3 linked regions of the Coturnix japonica genome follow. The protein of the gene in region 3 interacts with the protein of the main gene of each other region in a pairwise test. Links are inferred from orthologs where the notes say so. Each region holds a gene or a part of one and is shown on either strand. Other genes may lie near its edges.

Region 1 (6,927 bases), on a different chromosome or scaffold from region 3:
TCTTTAGCAGGGTCTGTGGTGACAGATCAAAGGGAATTGGTTTCAAGGTAGATTTTGGGTAGATATAAGGAAAAAGTAATTTATACTGAGGGTGGTGAGGCACTGGTTCCAGTGCCCAGTGATGTGGTTGATGCCCGTCCCTGAAGACGTTCAAGGTAAGGCTGGATCAGACCTTGTGCAACCTGATGAAGCTGTGTTGTCCCTGTGCATTGCAGGGTAGTTAGGCCAGATGTCCTTCAGAAGTCCCTTCCTACGTTAAGGATTCTATGATTTTAAAATAAACAGCTCACTCCTTGTGAGGTTGCATCATAAATGAATAAGATGGTGTGAGAGCAAGGAAGTATTTTCTGTTTTCTGTTGGGGAAGCTGAGGCTCAGAATTAAACAACTTGCCTAAGAGCAGAAGGGCTGACTTGCCAAGAGCCAGATTCCAGTCTCCTGAGTCAGAGCCTTGTGCCTTATCCACAAGACCAACCTTTCCCTTGTAGCATTTCCTTTCTCTCCACCCTGTTTTGAGGCGAGGAACAGTAGCATTGTTCTATGTCAAACAAATTTAAAGCATAATACAGGAGTGCTCCCAGCAGAATGGCTGGAACAACCTTTGAGTTTATTATTAATCTGGAAGCCATGACTTTTCTTGGAATGGCTTCTGCATTGGAACCCTCCTCAGCAGGAGCAATAACCACAAAAGCTTTAACCACTAAAAGACCTGCCAGTCTTTAAATAAGAGGCTTTTGAGAGTAAAAAAAATAGTAATTAGAAACAAGAAAAAAACCAAAACACAACCACACAACACATGCTTAAAACAATAAAAACTTTTCAAAAGGCATGGCTGGAAATTACGATTCAGGGGAGTGTGTGAGACATGAAATATCTGTCAAGAAAGCAGGACTTCTAACGTGGTTCCATAAGTGGTCAGGATATTTATTTTTAAAATTGATGCTTTTTATTCATAGTACATAGTACTATGGATACTAGGAGAGCCTAGTTCTGTAAGTGCCTTAATGCCTGCTTGCATACTTAATCAGGCTGGTGACAAGTGGCTTATCTTTGATATTTCAGGTAGCTGGGAAGAGAAAATAAAGGCTTAAGTTTGCCTTTGCTGCTCGGTGGCAGAGCAGGCTTCAGCAGACTTGATTATGCAATGCCTGTGCTAAGCATTACTAAAGGGCCATTATCTTAGGGTTGACAAGTATCCTGTCAATCACTCTGTTTTCTTTCGCTGTAGGAATTGTTTTTGGGTTTGTTTTTTTTTCCCCCACTCTGTCCTTTTCTCTTGCTGCCCCTTAACATCCTGGGGTTGTTCAGCCTGGAAAGAAAAGGCTTCAGGGAGACTTCATCGCAGCCTTCCAGTATTTAAGGGCAGTTTATGACATGAGGGTAATCAATTGCTTACACAGGTAGATAGTGATAAGACAAGGGGAAATGGTTTTGAACTACAGGAAGGGAGATCTAGATGACTAGATGTCAGGGGGAAGTTTTTTACTGAGTGGTGAGGTACTAAAACTGCCCAGAGCGGCTGTGAATGCCCTGTCCCTGGAGGTGCTCAAGGCCAGGCTGGATGGGGCCCAGAGCAATCTGATCTGTTACTCGATCTAGGGGCTAGCAAACTTGCCTGTGGCAAGAGGGTTGGAATCTGATGAACCTTGAGACGTTCTATGATTCTCTGCCAGATTAGGAAGCTGAATTCCTTGCAGAATTTCTTACAGCAGTCTCAGTGTTAACAGGGTCAGCTGATAGAAAGCAAAAAAAGCAGGAGCGAGGACTCGTCTTTGGATAAGTGGAGAAAAACGGGATCATAAACCACTTTAACTGGAAGACAGGAAGTGAAGCACTGGATCAAACTGGTCTAAGAATTCTGGTATCTTGCCTCTGGCTACACAATAGCCAGCTGACAAAAATAAGTGATGCACCTGGCTTTTGTTATGCAATGCTACAGGAGGGGAATTCCGTCCTATTTGCAAAGATCTGCACATGCCCAAAGTTATGACATGTTCTTAAGCTTTCTGTCAGTTGCTGACTGGGTTTCTGTGATTACTAGTACTACCCTGCACTTCCCAAGTTTGCGTCACTCTCATGGGGATGATCCCATGCCATAAATTCAGCTTGAGGCAGAGTAAAACTGTACAGGGTTGTCACTGGAGTAGAGCATCGTATGCTTTCATGATTTTGAGTAGGGCTTCATTTATTTGGTTTGGTCTTTTGCCTTAGAAGGCTTCTCTCTTGCTGTGCAACTTTCCCCTCATCTAGGAATATAAGCATATGGCAAAAGAGCTACACTGGGTTTGTTTTGTCCCAAAGATATGCTCTTTGCTATGCATTTATTTGTGTCTACTACTGCACAGAGAGAAATGGGCAAGAAATTTCCGCTTGCCCTGTCCTTTCTCCAGTCACTTTGTTCAGGGATTTCCTGAGCCAAATCCATCGTATTCCATTGGTAGGTGCAAATAGATTTGACACAGTGAAGCACTTCTATTGCTGGCTTTACTCTTGCTTAATTAAAGCTTGTTTTCACTTTAGAGGAATATAGATTGAATTGAATTCTTTTGGACGTGAAGAAGTACACCTCTCTTAACTTTTCCTTAAAAAATAAGACCACAATGAACCATAAAGCAACAGCTCGTGTCATAGTGTCACAGATATCGCCGTGTGTTAGCTAATTCCTCAGTCTCTGAAGTAGTCCTGAGGAATACCTCTGGTAGCCTGTTCCTGCAGGCCCGAAGACTTACACATCAAAAGAACTGGGTACTGATGTTTTAGTCATAACAGATGGCGGTTCTATTGCTTGGAAAATTGCCTTCCACATCAGCGTACGCCGTGTACCCTTGTAACATCGTTTTCCTTATGAACAGGGCTTCTGCTCTGAGGAACAAAGTTCCCCAGGTGCCTCTGTCTGAGCTTATTCAGCAGTGCTGTGTTTAGGGCAGCACCGAGCTGTGTCCTTCCAGTCTCAAATCGAACGAACCAAGCCGGACCGGCCCAGCCCCCGGCTCGCACCGCTCCTCCACCGCGCCCAGGCCGAGCCGCCGTCCCGCGCAGGCCCAGGCGCTGCGGGGGCGGGCAGGGGGCGGGCCGCGCCAGGTCGGGAAATTCCCCCCGGAGTAGGGCGGCGGGCGGGGGGAAAGCGGGCTTGGTGTCGTCGGTGTGAGGAGCGGCCCCGGAGGGCAGTCCGCGGCGGCACGGCCCGAGCGGCGGCGGAGCTGTCAGCATGGCGGGTGAGCGGCGGGGCGGGCGGAGAGCGGGGCGGCGGTGGGGAGCGGGCCGCGACTCAGGCAGCGCCCTGCTGCACGGCTGGGGAGCCGGCCCCGGGGGAGGCACGGGGCAGCGCTGAGACCGGCTGCCGCCCTGTTCGTGAGCAGCTCCTCTTCCGTCGCGTTCCCTCCGGCCGAACCCCGTCGGAGGCTTCCGGCCGAGGAAGGAATATCGTGAGGATGTTCATATCGGTGGCAGCGACGCCGTCCTGAGACCGTCACGTCTCAGAACGGGGCTTAGAATTCTTAAATCGGTGCTGCTAAAAACGTTTGGGTGTTCAATAAGTGCTGGTGTGGCGGATCTGGGGCAGGGCCGTCAGCAGGCAGGAGCCATGCGGTGCCTGTCCCGTGGGCGCTCGCTGCCGGGAGGATGCAGCTGCGTAAGGAACATGTCATAAGTGCGGAGCAACAGAGATAAGGGATCTTCTTTGGGCAATTACGTTTAAAAGCATAATCAGGTTGTTGGTTTTATCTTTTTAAGGCTAAGTTAAAACTCACATATCGCCCTTTCAGAAGGTGTTCCTTAGCTGTCTCTTTCAGGCTGGGCAGCATTAGTTGGCGTTATGGGAAGGAGGCTCTCTGCTCTCAGCACCAGCGCTGTGTGCTCTGCTACCCTTAGCAAAGTACAAACTTTCACTCCTGTCAAGCGTGTGCTTGAGAAGGCTGAACTGAAGCAGGAGCTAGTGCTTTCTTCTTGCCCTGAATGTGTTTTCAGTGTAATTAGGAACTAGATAAGGATTTTTTCAGCAGGGGAAGTTCACAACTTCCTGGTACTAGCCAGCTTGTGTCATTGTTTTTTTTTTCTTTCTCTGTTGGTTGTTGTTCTGTAAGGTCGTACGATAGTAAAGAGGAAGTTAGTGAGCCGTTTTGTTGTCGTGTTACGATCTGTGCGGTTCATGGGTTCCGCAGTGGATTACTGCTCTAAAATAAAATGGTGAGTGCGCTTGGGGTTAGATGAGATTGAAGCAGAGTGTTCTATGACAAACCTTCCACCAACTCTTCTTCCTGAGTTCCTCTAAGAGGCTGAGTGCAAGTAGGGCAGGAATGTGCAGGCAGTTGCTGCTGCTGCTCAGAAATGGCCGTTGCTGTGGAGGACAGAAGGGCAGCAGTAATCTCTAAGAAGGTGTGACATCAAAGCTGAAGGGCAACACTTCTTGCTTCTGTGTTTCACTGCTGTCACCTGAGATCATCAGAGTTTCGGGTGATACTTTCACATCTCCCACAAAGACCCACAGCTGCTTTGCTTTCAAGCTTGGTGATTGCTGGAGAGTATGTTCACAGGGTACTACTCCTGGTCATGCAGGAGAATGGCAAATCATATAGTCCTCCTGAAGCATTATTCCTTTGAGCCAAGGAGTAACATGGGACGGACGGGACCCATCGTCCTTCTGGTGGTAGTGTCTTACAGCCGTGTTCCTCCCTGGTGGCACAGCCATGTTTAGCTTCAAACTCATCATGGAGAGGTCTTTGAGTCTGTTGTTCCTTTCTTATTACTCTAACAGATTAAGCAACCTTCTACGCTTAAATAGGAGCACGAGCTGGCTGTGTTCTTGGTGCTATTACTGACCTTACTTAGTCTCTTTATGTAGTTGAGATTTGGTCTCTTGTATTTCCTTTAAAATTGTTTATTGTAGAATTCAGAGCATGGGGGCAACAAGCAAGTAGGTAATAGAGATAGCTGTGTGTTTCTTCAAAAACTAGTGAAGGAGGAGAGCCTTAGGCATGGCTCGTAGTGGTCTGACAAATGTGTGGAAAGGAGCTAGTAAGCTGTAAGGACTGACAGCTCTCTGTGTGCGAGTGTAGGTTGTGAAATAGTTAAACCACAGCACTTCACAAGCACATTGCTCATTTACAGAAATAGGGAACGCCAAACAGACCTCCACTTCACTTCAGAGTGCTGATAATACCTTTGGCTCATGCTGATACTTTCATGTGTTTCCTCTATGCAGAAAACATAATGACAGTGACAATTGTGGTAGAGATGATAATGTGATACTTAAACAGAGAGAGTGAGAACCAAGATTGAAATGAATTTGAATGTTTAATCTCTGGAGGCTGCCGTGTCACAGATTTGCTTTTCCACAGACACACACCTGCAGTCAAGCAGTGGGTTTGCTTTCAGTGACACTTGTTTCAACCACAGTCCCAACACAATCGTTGAGCACAGAGTTTTAAAATAAAGTGCTCTGAACAGGGAAGAAAAAGAGTCCTCATAAGCAAGTGTTAGTAGAGCACGATGGGAAATTGATGCTTAAAGCAGAGAGGATTAAAGACTTGAAGCGATTCTGTTCTGCAGTAACTTCTAACAGAAAGGCTCTGCCTCGTCTTGGCAAACACGTGGGCGTATGGTGCGTCTGGTTAGCAGCTTTGTAAGCATGTGTACCTCCAAAGTAAGATGATTAGTAGGTACTTTGCTACAATTTTGTCATTATAGTGTCTAAAATAGATTTTTAATTTAGTAGATGGATATGTGTCTATGTTTGTGGTACGGTGTTACGTAGGAATGGAGAAGTGAGATTCTTCTCCCTCTTCAATTACGTGATGGAAGTGGGAGGCTGACTGGTACGCTGCCATTGCTCCTCACTGCTGGCAGAAGTTGCCTGTTGCCTTGTCCACTGGGTTGTCCTGAACAGGATAACATAAGTAAATGTGAGTGAAGTTATAAAGCTGTATGCTGGGGAGTGAGCTTGGCTCTGGGAACTCAGACTTCTCATCTCCTGAAACCAACTTTATGTCATGTCTCGGCTTTTTTGTTACTAGTGTCCATCATACCCACTTTTGCTGGCATCACTTATTTTCCAGAAGGAGAAAAGGAACAAAGCTTACGTAAAGGGAAGGCTAGAAAAGATTTGGCAAGTGCCTATGGAAGTGGCCATACCTGTAAAGGAACTGGACCTTGAGCAGTGTCTATGCATGCTTGATGTGACAGCTCCTTGTTTGTTTTGAGACGCTGGTTTAAAATCAGTAGTAGATGATCAGTTGAGATACTGCATTCTGGTAAATTGTTATAAAAGAACGTGTAGAGTCTTAAACTGCTCTTCTCTAATGCTTGGAACAAAACACAACCTGGAGTTGAAATGCTTTATGGCTTTTTAAGAAAGTGTTCCTTTTGAAGAGGCATGTGTTGTTGGAGGCAGTTTTGGTGTCAGAGCAGCTTTCGCACTCTGCTATTGCACAGCTGTCTGTCAGTGTGTAGTGGCTGAAATGTGTGTTCAAATAAGACCAAGCTAACATCTCAGAAATGGAGTTCTCCCATTCTCTACTTAATTACTTTGTAATATCTCCTCTGATCTGGGGTGTGAACTGCTGGAGCACCGTAAATCTTCTACAAATCAGCAGACTCCAGTCATAAAGTTCAAGCTTTGTGTTGGCAGATATTGTAGGTGCAACAAACGAGAAGGTTTCATTATGGAGCTAAGACTGTAATCCACTTATTTGACAAATTCATATACTAAGTACCTTAGGCTAACTAGACCTTGGGCAAAAGGAAGTAGGGAATCTTTTACCCTTTTAATGCTTTCAATATATTTAATAACTATTTTGCTTTTTATGTTGAAGTCTGAGTGCTGTTTTCACATTGCCTGTTGTGTTTCTGATGTTCGCAAGCCTCGCCTGAGTAGGATGCTATTATACAAAGATGACAGAGAGCTCAGTAGATGTTTCCATAAGCTGTGTTC
Region 2 (6,827 bases), on a different chromosome or scaffold from region 3:
ATAAAACTACAAATACATCATTGCAATCTTGACTGCAGTTGGGTGAAAGGAGTGCGAAACAAATGTATTTTGGCAAATCCACTGTTTCTCTCCCATGCTATTTCAAGCAAGGAGGACCTTGGTAAAAATGTAGACAGAGACCATAGTATGTATTTGTTTTCTTCACAGTAGCCTGAGTAGAGCTAAACTGTAGTTCTCCAGGAACCCAGCTCCAGATGGTAATAAACTACTTTTCTTCTGTCCCGCCCACCCCCGAAAAAATGAAGTTATTTTATTTGAAAATTAAAATTAAAACTAAGTTTCAGAAGTAGAGCCTGTAATACTTTCAACAAGAGACTTATAAATTTGAGAGTTCAAGAACCTTGGGAAAGAGTCTCTGTGCATTAAGGTGTATATCTGGAGTTGGGCATCTTCATACATATGAGGACTGGGATCCAGCAAGTTTCTGTTGATCACTTCTCTCACCCGGGAGTCAAGACTAACCTGAAGAAGATGAGAACAGATGGATATTATACAGTAATGCTGGAAAGGTTGTATATATCTCTTTCTTTCATATGGCTCCATGGAACATCCTAAGTTCATCACTTTATTCAAGGTACACTCTAACTTTCAGAGTAAATGTTCTAAAATGCACACACATGATTTCAGACTCAGATGATAGACTTTATTTCAGTTTTGACTTGGTCTTTGCATCCATCTTAATAGCTGTAAGATGAAATGCCTCTATTTAACAATACTAGTGCTAATAAATAAAGTTCTGCAGTAACCTGGATTTCCCAAAATAAGTTCTTACACACTGAAATGTTTTACTTTTTACATATTTTGAAATATTTCTCACAAAGGAATGTTGAATGACCCTCACGAAGTTTCCTATTCAGCATTCTCCTCTGAATGTGTCACAGATCTTAACAAGACCAGTTCATGAGGCTAGCCAATCGATTCTTCATTACCAAGCAAAATGGCTTGGACAAGAAAGCTCACATTTGGCAGGATAGTGGTGTTCCTTTGCCACTGAATACTGTAAAAATTAATTGCCATTATAGAATGAAACAAATTAATTATGGATCTCTTAATTCACATTGTAGTTTTTCAGTGACTCACTAAAGCCATATGGCAAGATTAATTGCAATTATTCAAGTTATCTCTTTGGTAAATAGATGTGTGCAAGGTATTTGTTTAGCACACTGGGACATTCTGCCTCAGTGACTTCATCACTGAACAAGGCTGAATATTTCAGCTCCTATGCCAAAGTTTCATCCAGAATAGGATGCTGGGATGAACGAGAACTTTAAAGCTCCCATTCTGATCTAAAGCATTGCAAACTGTTCTCATTTGCCTCATACGGTTTCCAGTAGGGGCAGAAGCAGTTGGGTTAATGACATCCTTGCATTCCTAGGGAATGAATTATGTGAGCAGTTCTGTTAAATCCTAAGTCCCAAAAGACTGCTTTAGTCTTAACTGCTGGTTCATATTGGCTTTGGAAGACAACAGGACGTACAGTAAATATGTGCCTACTAGATATATATATATACACTGTCAGAAATACAGTAGCTTGCTGTACTGGCAGTTATCTCACTCCAAAGTTAAAACATACACTATGTCACAGAGAATGTAAGGGAATTTTAAATGGCTGTTGGTTTCATTCACAAGAATGAAATTGCAAAAATTTACTAAAAGCAGAGGTAAAATGTAGCAAGCAAGGTCCACAAGTAAGCATAAATTAACACATACAGAAACAAAGAAGAGTTGCTAAAGGTACGTGACATAGCCCAAGAAACTCTTCTACAATGCCTGGATATTTATTTATTTATTTATTTATTTATTTATTGTATGTTTATATATTTGTCTGTTCCAAACCATGATTTGATGCTGAAGATAATTTCAGTTGGACACTGAAGAAAACTGTATATAATTTCCTGGGTATTATCCCACCTTTCATTAGAGAAAATACGCGATCACAATTCTTAGACTATTTGATGGTATCTAGGGATAACCAAAGCAATTTTTGCTTTTTTTTCCCCAGACAGCTCTTGCAGCAGATAAATCTGTCATTATTCTGATTTTAATCCCACTGTGTTTTACAAGGCACTAATTGTGAATCTATTCCACGATTTGTTTCCTGTTAAATATTATTTTATTTGTCATATGTTGCTGAATTTATTTATTTTTTTTTCCTCCAGAAATCCATTTTCATGATGTACTTTGTGTCTTTGGCAAGCAAGTTGCATTACTAAAGAAGCATTCCTATTTCTCACCCTTCTGTTTCTGGAATTTCCCCTTCATTCCTCTTGTAGTGAGAGCTTTGAGGAGTTGTGGCCAGTGATACTAAGCAGCTCAGCTTATGTCAGCACTTGTGCAGTCCCTCCCTTTCTCATTTTATTTCCTATACCGAGAATTGTTTTCATCTGAGACTGTGCATACTTTTCGACCCCTTCTGGCAATCTAGAGTATAGCATGTCTGTTTTGGAATAGGAAAGGAATTCAATCTAACATTTACAGCGTTACCTCTTTTGGTGAAAGTATAGAAATGTAATCTTCATATATAAGCCTTGCTTTTTCTTCAATAACTTTCTTGTTCTGTTCCTTCTTTAGATCTTCACATGCAAGCCAGAAAAGCAGGTTCTCTTCACTATACTCTGTTCGAAGAAACTCTCTAAAAAGGTTCCTCCCAGCTGGTGTTTTCATCATCTTGTCAAAATTCTGAGCCCAAGACAGAATTTCATCTGCAGTCGGGTTTTGGCTGCAGAAGGAAGATATCATTACAAATATGTTTCTATTTTTGTAACAGTGTTTTCATACAATTGTCCAAAATTTCTCCTTTCCACTGCACTTCAGCCCAGAGTGAAAACTAGAATCAACAAAGCTTCAGAAGTGACAGGAGAATTTTGTTCACTTCACTTGCTCATTCATTATCTCAATAGGCCACTAAATGTGTTTAATATTAAGAGACATGCACTTGGCTTTCTGCAAGTTTTTTACTTGTACTGTTCACCATCAGACTAAAGAAAAATCCAATAACAGAAGAGAATTCCTACCCCGTAGTTAAAGGAGATGTGAGACAGCTGACAGTAGGTTCTCTCTCCTGTCAGGCTTGAGGGACACCTGATATCTCTGCCTGCTTCTGATAGGATTTGGCCAATCTCTGCCTGCCACACAATTTGGTTCAGCAAGGACAAGAAAAACAAAAGGCTCTTGGCAGCCAAGGGCATACTAATGAGGGCCAACAAAATAGTAATTCAGAGAGCCTTTAAATTAGCATATTTCTCTGTGCTTGTACCTAGGGGTTGCTAAGCTTCTCTGTGTTTGGTGCTATTGACCTGAATGATGATCTACTGGCACAAGATGTGATGGATGTTTCTGGCAAAACTGGAGAGAGAAGAAATGGGAAAAAAAAACCAACTTATTCCCATTTTCTGAAGGAGGCTATTTACGGCTTGTACCAGCGGATGCACAGGATGAGTGAACAGAAAACCAATTTGTGCCACTAATCCATAATGTACAAACGAACAGTCTGAGAAGGTCATATTCAAATTTCTTAACAACAGTTAAGTACAGTTTCACACTTAACTCTGAGTGCTCATCCTCCCCTTCCTGATAAGATACAATGCAAGAATTTTACAGTCTGCTGTTAACACTGTCTTTGTAATCATGTTGCACAATAAATGCCATTTGCCCATATAATTTCAAGTTCATTTTTCAATTCGTAGTCTGCATGCAAGACAGAGTGGGTGTCAGGAAGCTATTTATGACACTTTTTTGGCAGACTAAAAGATCTAATAAATGAGAAAGTTTTTAACATTTAAACTAAGCAGCAAAACTAAAAAGCATAAACATGCAGATTTTATGGTGAAAAGTCCTCACTCTCTGAGGAAAGAGAAATGAACCTGCTGGAAGGGGTGGAGCTGACAAGCAACCCATGTTGCCTAGTTATCAATTTGGAAAATACTGCAGTTAGATGAATATAAGAATATGTGAACAAAAAAAGTACAGAATAAGGCAGTTTGATAGAGTTTAATCTATTAAGATGTTTTACATCTGTAAGACATGTCATTTCATTAAAAATGGATTTCCTGTTCCCTCTCCAAAATGACAGTTTCCTGAGGAGATTTGTGAAGTACAGCCCTGTGCTATACAAGTAGATTAATTTAAAAAGAAAATCACGCAGACTGTCCAATTTGATAAACTAAAGCTCACTTATGTCTAAATAACTTATCTTGATCTTGTGAAGTAGGAGAAAACTCCTTTGTTGAGGTCTTGAATTTATTAGACATCAAAGGCAGCCTAAATGCTGCACCACGGCAGTGCTGAACTAAACGTTCCTTGTTCCTAGGTACACGAAAGAAGAGGTTGGGACTGCAATAGGATATTTAATTTAAACCTCTGGATGTTCTCTCACCTCCTGCTCAGGTATAGTCCTGACACACAGAACAGGCCTGATGTTTGCTGAGAGCAGCTCCATTCAGTTACAAATGGAGTACATCATACAAAACGGGACACTAAGGACAGGACAAGGCAAGAGCCATTCTGCAGCCATTGCAACCTTCTGCTCAAACCTCCTCCATTTTTTTTGCATCAGTAATGAGCAGTTTCTGCAGAATCCACTAACTTAAGAGCTGGTGTAGACAAAACAAGGTATAAACACATCACCTTACCCCAAAAGCTTTTGAAGTGGATCTGTGAGCAGCTGCACACCTGAGGTTAGGGGATGCCTATACAGTGATGGAGCAAAAGGCATGAGCACTCTCCCCAGGTAACTACTTCTTACTGGTGTATGAGTTGATGGAATTGCAAGTTGGTGAATCTGTGAGTTAATGAATGAAGCAGTGACTCAGGATCTGCATGAGTTAGACTAGCCTCTTTAAAGGATACTTGGCCCTTGTTTGAATTTTGTCTAATAAGTTCATGAAATAAAGTTTGATTCACAGAGTACATTGTCCCATTGACTTGACAAGTTTAGACAAACTGTAACACTAACCATAAGTGATAACAGCTATTTAAGTTTCACTATAGGAAACTATAGGTTTTGACATAGGCTAAATTCAGCTGCCCTGTGTTATGATCTAGAGTTACTGGTTTCTCCATTGGCTTACAGAAGGACCTTAAGTTATGCAAGATGAAGTTTTATATCATAGTCGAGGTGAATTAAGTAGTTTAGAATTAATTTTTACCTAAACAATCTCTACTTGCTACCTCTGCCTGAATCAGCTCAAGAGAAAGAGCTGAATTAATATCATCTGGAGTACAGTTAGTGGTGGGGAGGCAGAAGAGGAGGGAGCAGAGACAGCACAGAAGGTAAATCTTCTCTGAAGGCAGGGAGCTGTTAATTCACAGCTTTGAATTAACCACGACTTCTTCATGTGAAACCACATGCGCTCTTTTAATATTCCATGGACAGACCTTTCAGTCTTCCATTCTTCTGCCTACCACCAACAATGATGTTGAGAAACTCCCCAGATTTCAAGATCTGGACCATTAGTGAGCTGTTTCACTAAGCTTTGTACTTTCTTTGCATAGCAAAGCTACAAGGCTGCCGCGTTAAAACCTGTGAAACATTTAATCCCAGCAGGGAATGTCATGAAGTAAACACATTCATCATGATGGAGTGCTTCTGTAAATTCTTTTAAAGTGACTTGAATTCCAGAGTGCTCAGCTGCACCAAAGTTCAACATAATATAACTGGAGGATATAAACAATTAAGACATTCTCATATAAAGAAAGAAAAAAATCTGTCAAATCAATTCACCACGTGTTCTCTGTCAGTAAGGGGAAAAGTCTATAGTGCTTTCATATTTTGTGGAACGTTTTTATTTATCCTTTCAAAACTGATCATGAAAAGCAATGGTGGTACTGAGATATTTTGCTTGTGTTGCTTTTAAATTCAATAACGTCTTCCTGAATTAAGTTTTAATGTACCTTTTATGGGATTAAAGAACTTAAAGCCACAAGTTTAGCTTTTTTTCCCCAACACAAAAAAATATTTGCCTTATCTTCAAACAGAAACAGGCTCAGACTTTCAGTATATATACATCTGTCTTTCAAGACACATATTTCCTGGGTCAATTCAGGTAAAACCATAAAACAAGCTGATGTACAAAAATTAAGCATGTTAAAAAATCTAACTGTAAAATATACTTTTGCCCAAGTTTGTTTTACTTCTTGACTGGGTAAGTAGAAGAAAATGATTCTACAAACAGCAGAGGCCCATGGATCAGTTAAGCCATTTTCACATGCCTTCTGTTCCTCCCCATTGCTTTGTATCCATAAATGTGAAACTATCTGTAAGGCTAAATATCACTGATAGCATTACATGGCAAATCTGATTTTGCTTCATTTTAGAAGTCTAAAAAAAACTAAGGTAAATTAGTTACAGGTAAATAAAAATAAATTAATAAATTAATAAATAAAGTTTCACCAACTTACCATTCTTCTATGACTTGGATGCTTTCCATTTTGGTTGTATGTGTTGGCCTTCCTGCATTGTCTCCTCTATCTTCATTCCTAACAGTGAGGCTGCAATGTAGTACAACACTTTATTTTGTCTAGAGAATGTTAGTTTAAAGCAATTACTACAATAATGCAAATTTTCAAATGCTATAAATGTATTTCAAGTATAATTTTTCACTCCTACCCCTAAAATTTATGTCCAGAATTTGGAAAGAGATTTTTTGATAACAATTTTTTTTCCTGTAATATTGGTGAATATTAATTAACATGTGGCATTAGCATGTATGACTTTTTTAGAAACTGACAGTTTATCCACTGAAAGTTGGACAAAAAGTCAGAGGTCACATTTGGAGTGAGTTTACTTAGTAAATCATGAGTAATAT
Region 3 (6,927 bases):
TTGCCAAAAAAGGAAAAAGATACTAGATGATACAAGTATAAATATTCAAATTTTTATAACAACAAACACTGAATACTACTCGCTCTGTTTTTTCAGTGCTCAAAGTTTTTGCTTTGGCTGCTATGCTATTACTGAAATACATGGGAAGTTATGTCTTAGAAGGATTCAGTCATCCAAGTACCTCTCTGAATATTTTCCAGAATTTCTTACTTAGAACCAGCCAAAAGTTAAAAAAATATTCATTGACTACAGTTTAGATTTAAGTCCTCATATGGGACAGTTTTTCTTGTCTCTAATAATAAAACAGACCTCCATATTAAATAAAGTAGCATCCTGGTTTTTCCTGCTCTCTTTCTCTCTTCAGCCCTGTACCTTCCATGCCTGTTTTCTGTGCTCTGTTTTTGCTTGCATTTCCCTTTTCCCTTTGGGCAACAAGAAAGACACAGATAGATCAAGGTTCCCAAGGCTGAAGCCTCATCATACTGAGTTTACTCTACAGTAAAAGAGGAAATCTGGGTCTCTCTATAGGACAACAGAGAGGGTCTAAGAGCTGAAATACCTTTCTTTGTCTCTCCTCTCTATGAGATGGCATGGAACCTAAAGAATTGGTAACAGCTCTATGGCCCCTTGGTGAAGGAGCTGCACTTGAGCAGGATAAACCAGAATTTATCCCACCCATATAACCCAGCATCAGTGAGAGCACTGGGTTGCCACTGTCTCAATTAAATCGTTCCCACTGCAGTTTTCTTGCAAAAGAAAAATAAAACAAAAAAACACCCTTTCAAGTCCACGGCAAGGCCTGAACAGAGGAAGCAGTCGTGCATATCCAAGCCACCTTCCCAAACCTTGCCAAAATGGAGCACTCCCTTTCTTTCTATTCTTTATCTCAGTAGTGAGTCTATACCTCATTTTCTACTGGAAGGACAAGAAGACAGAATAGGCATCAGGAACGCCAGCTCTGCCTCTCCCCTCCTTGTCCTCAGCTTGAAAAGCAAGCATGACATAAAAGCAAGTCTCTGCGGCATCCCCTTATGCTCTGTTTGCTGAAGGAGGCAGTGCAATGTGACTTCAGGATGTGCCCTGTGGGGATCAGCTTTGTGTGAGGACAGCTGTTCTGTTGTCCCCATGCTGGGCTCAGACCCATTGCCCCCTCAGTCCCTCATCTCCCCTCCCCAGCTGGTCCCAGCTGAGTGGGAAAAGAATGGATTTGCTTTCCTCACCAATTCCTTCTTACAGGAGAAAAGAACAGCTGCTGCTCTCCCTATCTCCTGAGATGTCCTCCCCCCGCTCTCTTCTATCCAGAACATTTATTGCTGGATGGGAAATAGAATATAAAAGATCAAAACTCTGAGTGTTTGACAATAACAAGACCAGGGCTTTTCACAGCATTTGGGAATGATTTCATCCACCAATCCACATGCAAAAAGTGTTGCCAGATTTGTAAAATAAGCATGGAGGAGACTTAGAGTATACATTCTCCTACCACTGATTTTATGGTATTAAAAAAGGTGCACTGAATGTATTCCAGAGGGAGGGGCAGGGCTTGCACTCTTGAATGCAGTTTTTGAGATTCACTGCGTGATTTTTCCATCTCTGACTTCTCTCTATTTGGATGCCCTTGTGCAGAGATCTGACTTAAATCTTTGTAACTTGAAGAATTACCAACAGCGGAGCAAGCTTTTGAGGTGGTCCCCTACACCCACTTTGCAAACAACCAGTTTCAGGAGCTTCAGGGCAAGGGAAGGAGCCAGCCACTAGTGCTCTGTGGCAAGCAAAAGGCAAAGACCAAATGGGAATGCTGCTGAAAGCAGACCTCCCGCGTTCCATGGCAGCTGGCAGCCAGACCTCTCGAGGAAACCACCGGGGCGGGTGCCCTGTCCCATGCGGTTGAGCACTTCCCTCTGCCAGTGGTTTCAGAGGAAAGGATCACGTCTCACACACGCAGCCAGAGCCCGCTGGAGTTAATGAAAAGATTCCCTCTTCTTCCCCCAAAAATGTTTTGGATGATCCCACAGGAGTTCCCAGATGGGTGGCAGGGTGAGACCCCTGCAGGGAGGTGAGCAGCCAACACAAAGAGCAGCACAAATGGGTGGCGCTGACCTCCTTAATGTCAGCTTCTGTATTTTCAGAAGCTCCTCTTCCTCGTGCCACAAAATGCTTAAAACTTTTTTCTTTGTCTTTTTCTATTTATTTATTTTTTTCTCCAAAATGATTTCTGAAGTGATATTGTGCTTGGACCTTTGTGCCCCAGTGGGCTTAAGATTTCAAATACATCCAAGTTTCAAACTGTATCAACTATTCTGCAAGAAGGGGGGCATAGAAAAGCTATGAAATAAGCATTCTTAATAGAATCAGGTGAGATAAGTGACCAGAAAGGAATTTCCATTTATAGTACTCCTCTGCATACTGCCTTGCTGACATGCGCTGATACTGGGATGATTTCATGTTGAAAAGGGTGACTGTCCTTTTTGCCCCATTATAGTCCAGTGGCAACAGCAAGAAAGAATAACGTGTGAAAGAGGAGGGGTTGCCACCAGGCAGCTGTTTGTATGCTGTAATGGACAATAGCTGTGAGCACCTGGATGGGAGAGGGCTGAAACCTGCACCTCTCAAAAATGCAGATTCTTCACCTCATCCTCTGACCCACACCTGAGAAATTCATATTTCCCCCCATTTTTGCACAGCAAGAGTAGGAAAAAGAAGAAAAGTGCAGCTAAGATTCTGCATCAGGCAGGATGAGAGCACTGTGCCAAATGCAACAGATGATGCTCACACCTTTGGTGACAGCGTTTCTCCTGCTACCCATCTCTCACTGGTCCTGTAGGTTCTTACACTGCACTTATCAGGTTACACAAACTATTAATGAGGTATTGAAAAAGAGCCACATTCACAGAAGTGAAAACACCAGTTTATACACATTAACCAGCATCACAAGCCAAAGACATGTTACCTGAGACCTTCAGAACCAGGAAAGAGACTCAGCCATGCAAATATCAGTGATTTCAATGTTACATTGGTACCAAAAGTCACTTTTCTGCAGCATGGATATGCAAAACTGAACACGAGCAAAACTGATAATGACCATAAAGCTCTGAAAAAGAACAGAAGGACCATCCCTACAGCATCTCTTACCAAAGAAAAGGATTAAAATAGTGCTTCAGCTGATAGCAGTGAATGCACGCATCCTGGCATCAGTCAGGACAAGCTCTCTGCCTGAGGTTACCACCAACATCACACACATCCTTACAGGTGTTGCCCTCACCTTTCTAGTCTGGGAAAAAGAGTCAAGGGGGGAAAGCAAAGTTTCAGCTTACCGCATTGAGCCCCAGGGAGTTGTAAGGCAGAGAGGAGGTGACTCCGGACAGGATAGCAGTGGCCACCACTGCCCCCAGGCACTGAGCGAGGATGTACATCAGTGCCTTGAAGATGCTGATCTGGCAGCTCAGCAGGAGGCCCAGGGTCACCGCCGGGTTCAGGTGGGCACCACTGATATGGCCCACGCTCTGCGCCATGGTCGCGATGGATAACCCAAAAGCCAGCGAAACCTTCACGTTGTCCTGAGTTGCTGATGTCCCGTTGACTGACACTGGGAAATTAAAACCCAGGGCCGAGCCAATGCTGATAAAAATAAAGAGGATCATGGCAAGGAACTCGGCCACCACTGCCCTCCAGAACATTTTCTTTTTGAATTCACTGGCCATCTCTCCTCTCTCTCTGCCCTCCTCTCTCTCTTCTGTTCCTTTCCCCTGCCTGGTATTTTCCCTTCGAGGTCTGAAGAGAAAGCTGGAGAGAAAATACGGTCCTTGGATTATTTATAGGGCTTTGGGTGGTCTGTAGGAGGGAAGGGGTGTTGCACAAAAGGAGGAAAGAACATCTACATCGATGCTGACTGTTAGATTGATGTAAGACACTGCACGCTTGCCAAAGTTTTTTCTTCCTTTTTTTTTCTCCCTCTCTCTTAACTGCCTTCGATCTCTGCTGCTGTTTTTAAGAGGCTTTTTCAAGCCCTCGGAAGAGCCCTTGGGAGAGCCCCGGGAATGTTACCCTCACTCTATTTAACATCCCTCATCCTTCGGGTCGGAGCAAGGGCTGTCGCGGGGTCTCTGCCTGACAGAGGGCTGAAAGGAGAAGCACTGAGCTGAATTACGGCACACAGCTCTGTGGCAGCTGGGGGACAATGAGCAGTAGTAAACAGAGCTGATAACTAAATCCACGCTCCAGAGATGGAAAGATCCCTGTTTCATTTGAAAACAGACAAGTCTCTCCTGCTGGTTTCCTGGGGACCGAGTACATTTTGGATGCCACCCTGATCGCGGACGGACAGACACAGAGCAACATGCACTGATCTGAGCTGACTGAGGCAGGGATCGCTCCCCACCTCCGTGACCGCGGTGTAAATAGAACCGGACACCACAGCAAGGGGAAGCTTTCCACGGCCGTGATTCCTGTGTGCTGAGGGATAGATTCATTTCTATTAATATTTAATTATTTAATTTACCTAATCTCAGGGTTTCTTGATCAGCTCAAAGCAGCCGCTCAGGGACTCCCCAGCCCACGTCCTACAGTAAAAGTGCAGAGGAACATCAGCTGTCACGGGGGAGACTGAAACGGGGACGTAAGGGGAGCGAGAGGGAGAAGGGGCATTACATGCTTGATTTTGCAGACAAAATGAATCAACAGACAAAGCCAGAATATCCTCGGCAGCAAAAGGTCTCATCGCTCCGGGCTTTATTGCGGCAGGACGTGTGTGCATGCCTCGGATTAACCCTTGTGCTCTCAGAATGCTGCGGGCTGAGAGGCTGCTGATAGCATATTCTGTAAGCCAGGGGGCTTCCTCGGACTTACAGCTGCTCAGCATTCGATCCAGAGGCAGAAACAAAGTCCCCAGACACAAGTCTTGAAAGAAGAGCACTTAAAATCATCCCACTGCTTTGCCTCCTCCTTTTTCTTCTTCTTCCCTTGAAGCACCGCTGCTTCCTAAACTGCATTTAAATTAATTTGAAGGGAATAAAACCAAATACACACCTGAACAGCATTAAATAATTGACAGATGCCTTTTCTTAAGCATATTCCTCTTTCTGAAGATGAATTCAGATTCAAGGCAGAGCTCTGAATAAAAATCTGGACATCCTCAGCCACTGTCCCCATGTCTTCATTCTTTCTAGTCTTCAGATGTTTTTGATTTTATGAATAAGTAGTTTTATTTTGTTCTGCTTTATAATGTGCTTACACAACAGCACTGCACAAATCACACACAAAAAGGGGGGGGGAAAGAAAAGCAATGAAATAGGAACAAATTATTGCCTTCATCCTTCTAATTACAGTGGAACTGCAATGAGGCACAAAGTGACAGACGAATCAAAATTCAAATTTAGACAAATTTCAAGGTGGAATTTTAAGATTAAAATGTCAATGCTGGTTGCATTCCGTTCAGCAGAACTTCTTGTTTACTGTTTAGCAAACAGTTCCTAAGACCTGAAGATCATACGTGACCAGCTCCCCTGGCTCTACCTCCAGATGCCCAAGGCATACATCACAAACCTCCGGGAAAGAAGAGCTCTATGAATAGTTTACAAGAGCAAGTACTTTCCATGTGTCCCAAATTGGCACCTGTGGGATGGAGCTGCCCATCCCATTCACTGTGTCTACAGGAAACTCCCTCTTTACTCACTTCTTCCTACAATTAGGGCCTGGATGACCAAACAACCTCTGTCCCAGTACTGATAAGGTGAGAAGGAATCCCTCAAAGGAAAATTACTAGAAGCCAGGAAAATGAGCTGGGGAAGTGTTGCAGACGCCTGTTTGATTCATTCAGTCTCCCATAGGTATCCCTGGGAGGCCAGTAACAGAGATGGGGTACAAGGCAAGCAAAACCTTTAGTCTTTTGTGAGATAGCTTTGGCCTATGTGGGTAATGCTCAAATTCAATGTTCCTCAAGAGCAATTGGTCACCCTCCTTTAGAGTTAGTTAATTTATTTTCCTCCTGGGACTCCTGATAGAGCTCTCTGTAGCTAATACCCACCCCTTCATATCTTGGAGTGCCACCAGTTAATGATTAAGACAGATTTAGAAACAACATATATATATATGTATATGTATATATACATTCAAGTGAGCTGAAACAAAATAAAGACAGAAACTTTGACATATAAACGTGGAAAATGCACAGCTGGGGAGCTGTTAGCCAGTCTTACCTGACATGGACCATGTCATGATCATCACTTTTGTCTTGTTAACTAATTACTGACATGGTGGTGATAGCAGAACTGTGCAAAGACATGCAACAGACATTGTCTTGTATTTATAGATGAGCCACCAAGGGGAGATGGTGTCCAAAGAACAAATGTTCTGCACATGAAACTGAGGGAGTTGGCAGAGACAATAAGTGAAATCAACGATGTAAGCATAGTAGGAAAGAGAGAAAGCAAGAGTGGAGCAGCAGCGCATCAGTGGAAGATATAACCCAAGTCATGACTGCAATCCAAGGGTGCCATGGCTAATCCCAGGACAATGCCTGTTCAGAAGTGTCTTCTACCACACAGATCTAAGCAGTTCTAAACTCACAATATCCCCTTTGCCATAAAATGATTTCCACTCCATCTTATCCAGGCTAATGGAAAATATCCCAACACTTGGCCAAGGGTCATCTACCCAGTGTCCATAAACAAAGCAAAAAAAGGGCAAAATCCACCGTCCTTAGTATCAGATGATCTGGGGTAAGTGCAGAAAGTTTTTATAGGCACGACTTCAAGCTTATGTGCCAAATTATACACAGAGGTAGAGTCTGAGTTTTCTGGAACTACGTATCTAGAAATAGCGATGATTGCCAACCTTATGCAAGTGTTTAAGATAGGCAGTGAAGAACATATCTGATGGGAACAAGAGGCAGAAAGTAGCTTCTGAGCTGATGAGTGATTCTTCACAGAT

What was found.
Region 1: the proteins of AQP1 (region 3) and REL interact in binary tests that used the Homo sapiens proteins (3 or more experiments, as listed by UniProt). The link is inferred for Coturnix japonica from reciprocal best matches to the Homo sapiens genes AQP1 and REL.
Region 2: the proteins of AQP1 (region 3) and RGS17 interact in binary tests that used the Homo sapiens proteins (3 or more experiments, as listed by UniProt). The two-hybrid records come from large-scale screens. The link is inferred for Coturnix japonica from reciprocal best matches to the Homo sapiens genes AQP1 and RGS17.

What each region holds. Positions count from the first base shown.
Region 1 is NC_029518.1:5,507,161-5,514,087, reverse strand, and holds the start of REL (proto-oncogene c-Rel), read left to right. Parts: upstream 1-3,071; 5' UTR 3,072-3,207; coding exon 3,208-3,214; intron 3,215-6,927. UniProt on the Homo sapiens protein: Proto-oncogene that may play a role in differentiation and lymphopoiesis.
Region 2 is NC_029518.1:44,752,356-44,759,182, forward strand, and holds part of RGS17 (regulator of G-protein signaling 17), read right to left. Parts: intron 6,511-6,827; coding exon 6,421-6,510; intron 2,741-6,420; coding exon 2,506-2,740; intron 484-2,505; coding exon 295-483; 3' UTR 1-294. UniProt on the Homo sapiens protein: Regulates G protein-coupled receptor signaling cascades, including signaling via muscarinic acetylcholine receptor CHRM2 and dopamine receptor DRD2.
Region 3 is NC_029517.1:951,109-958,035, reverse strand, and holds the start of AQP1 (aquaporin-1), read right to left. Parts: upstream 3,780-6,927; 5' UTR 3,702-3,779; coding exon 3,315-3,701; intron 1-3,314. UniProt on the Homo sapiens protein: Forms a water channel that facilitates the transport of water across cell membranes, playing a crucial role in water homeostasis in various tissues.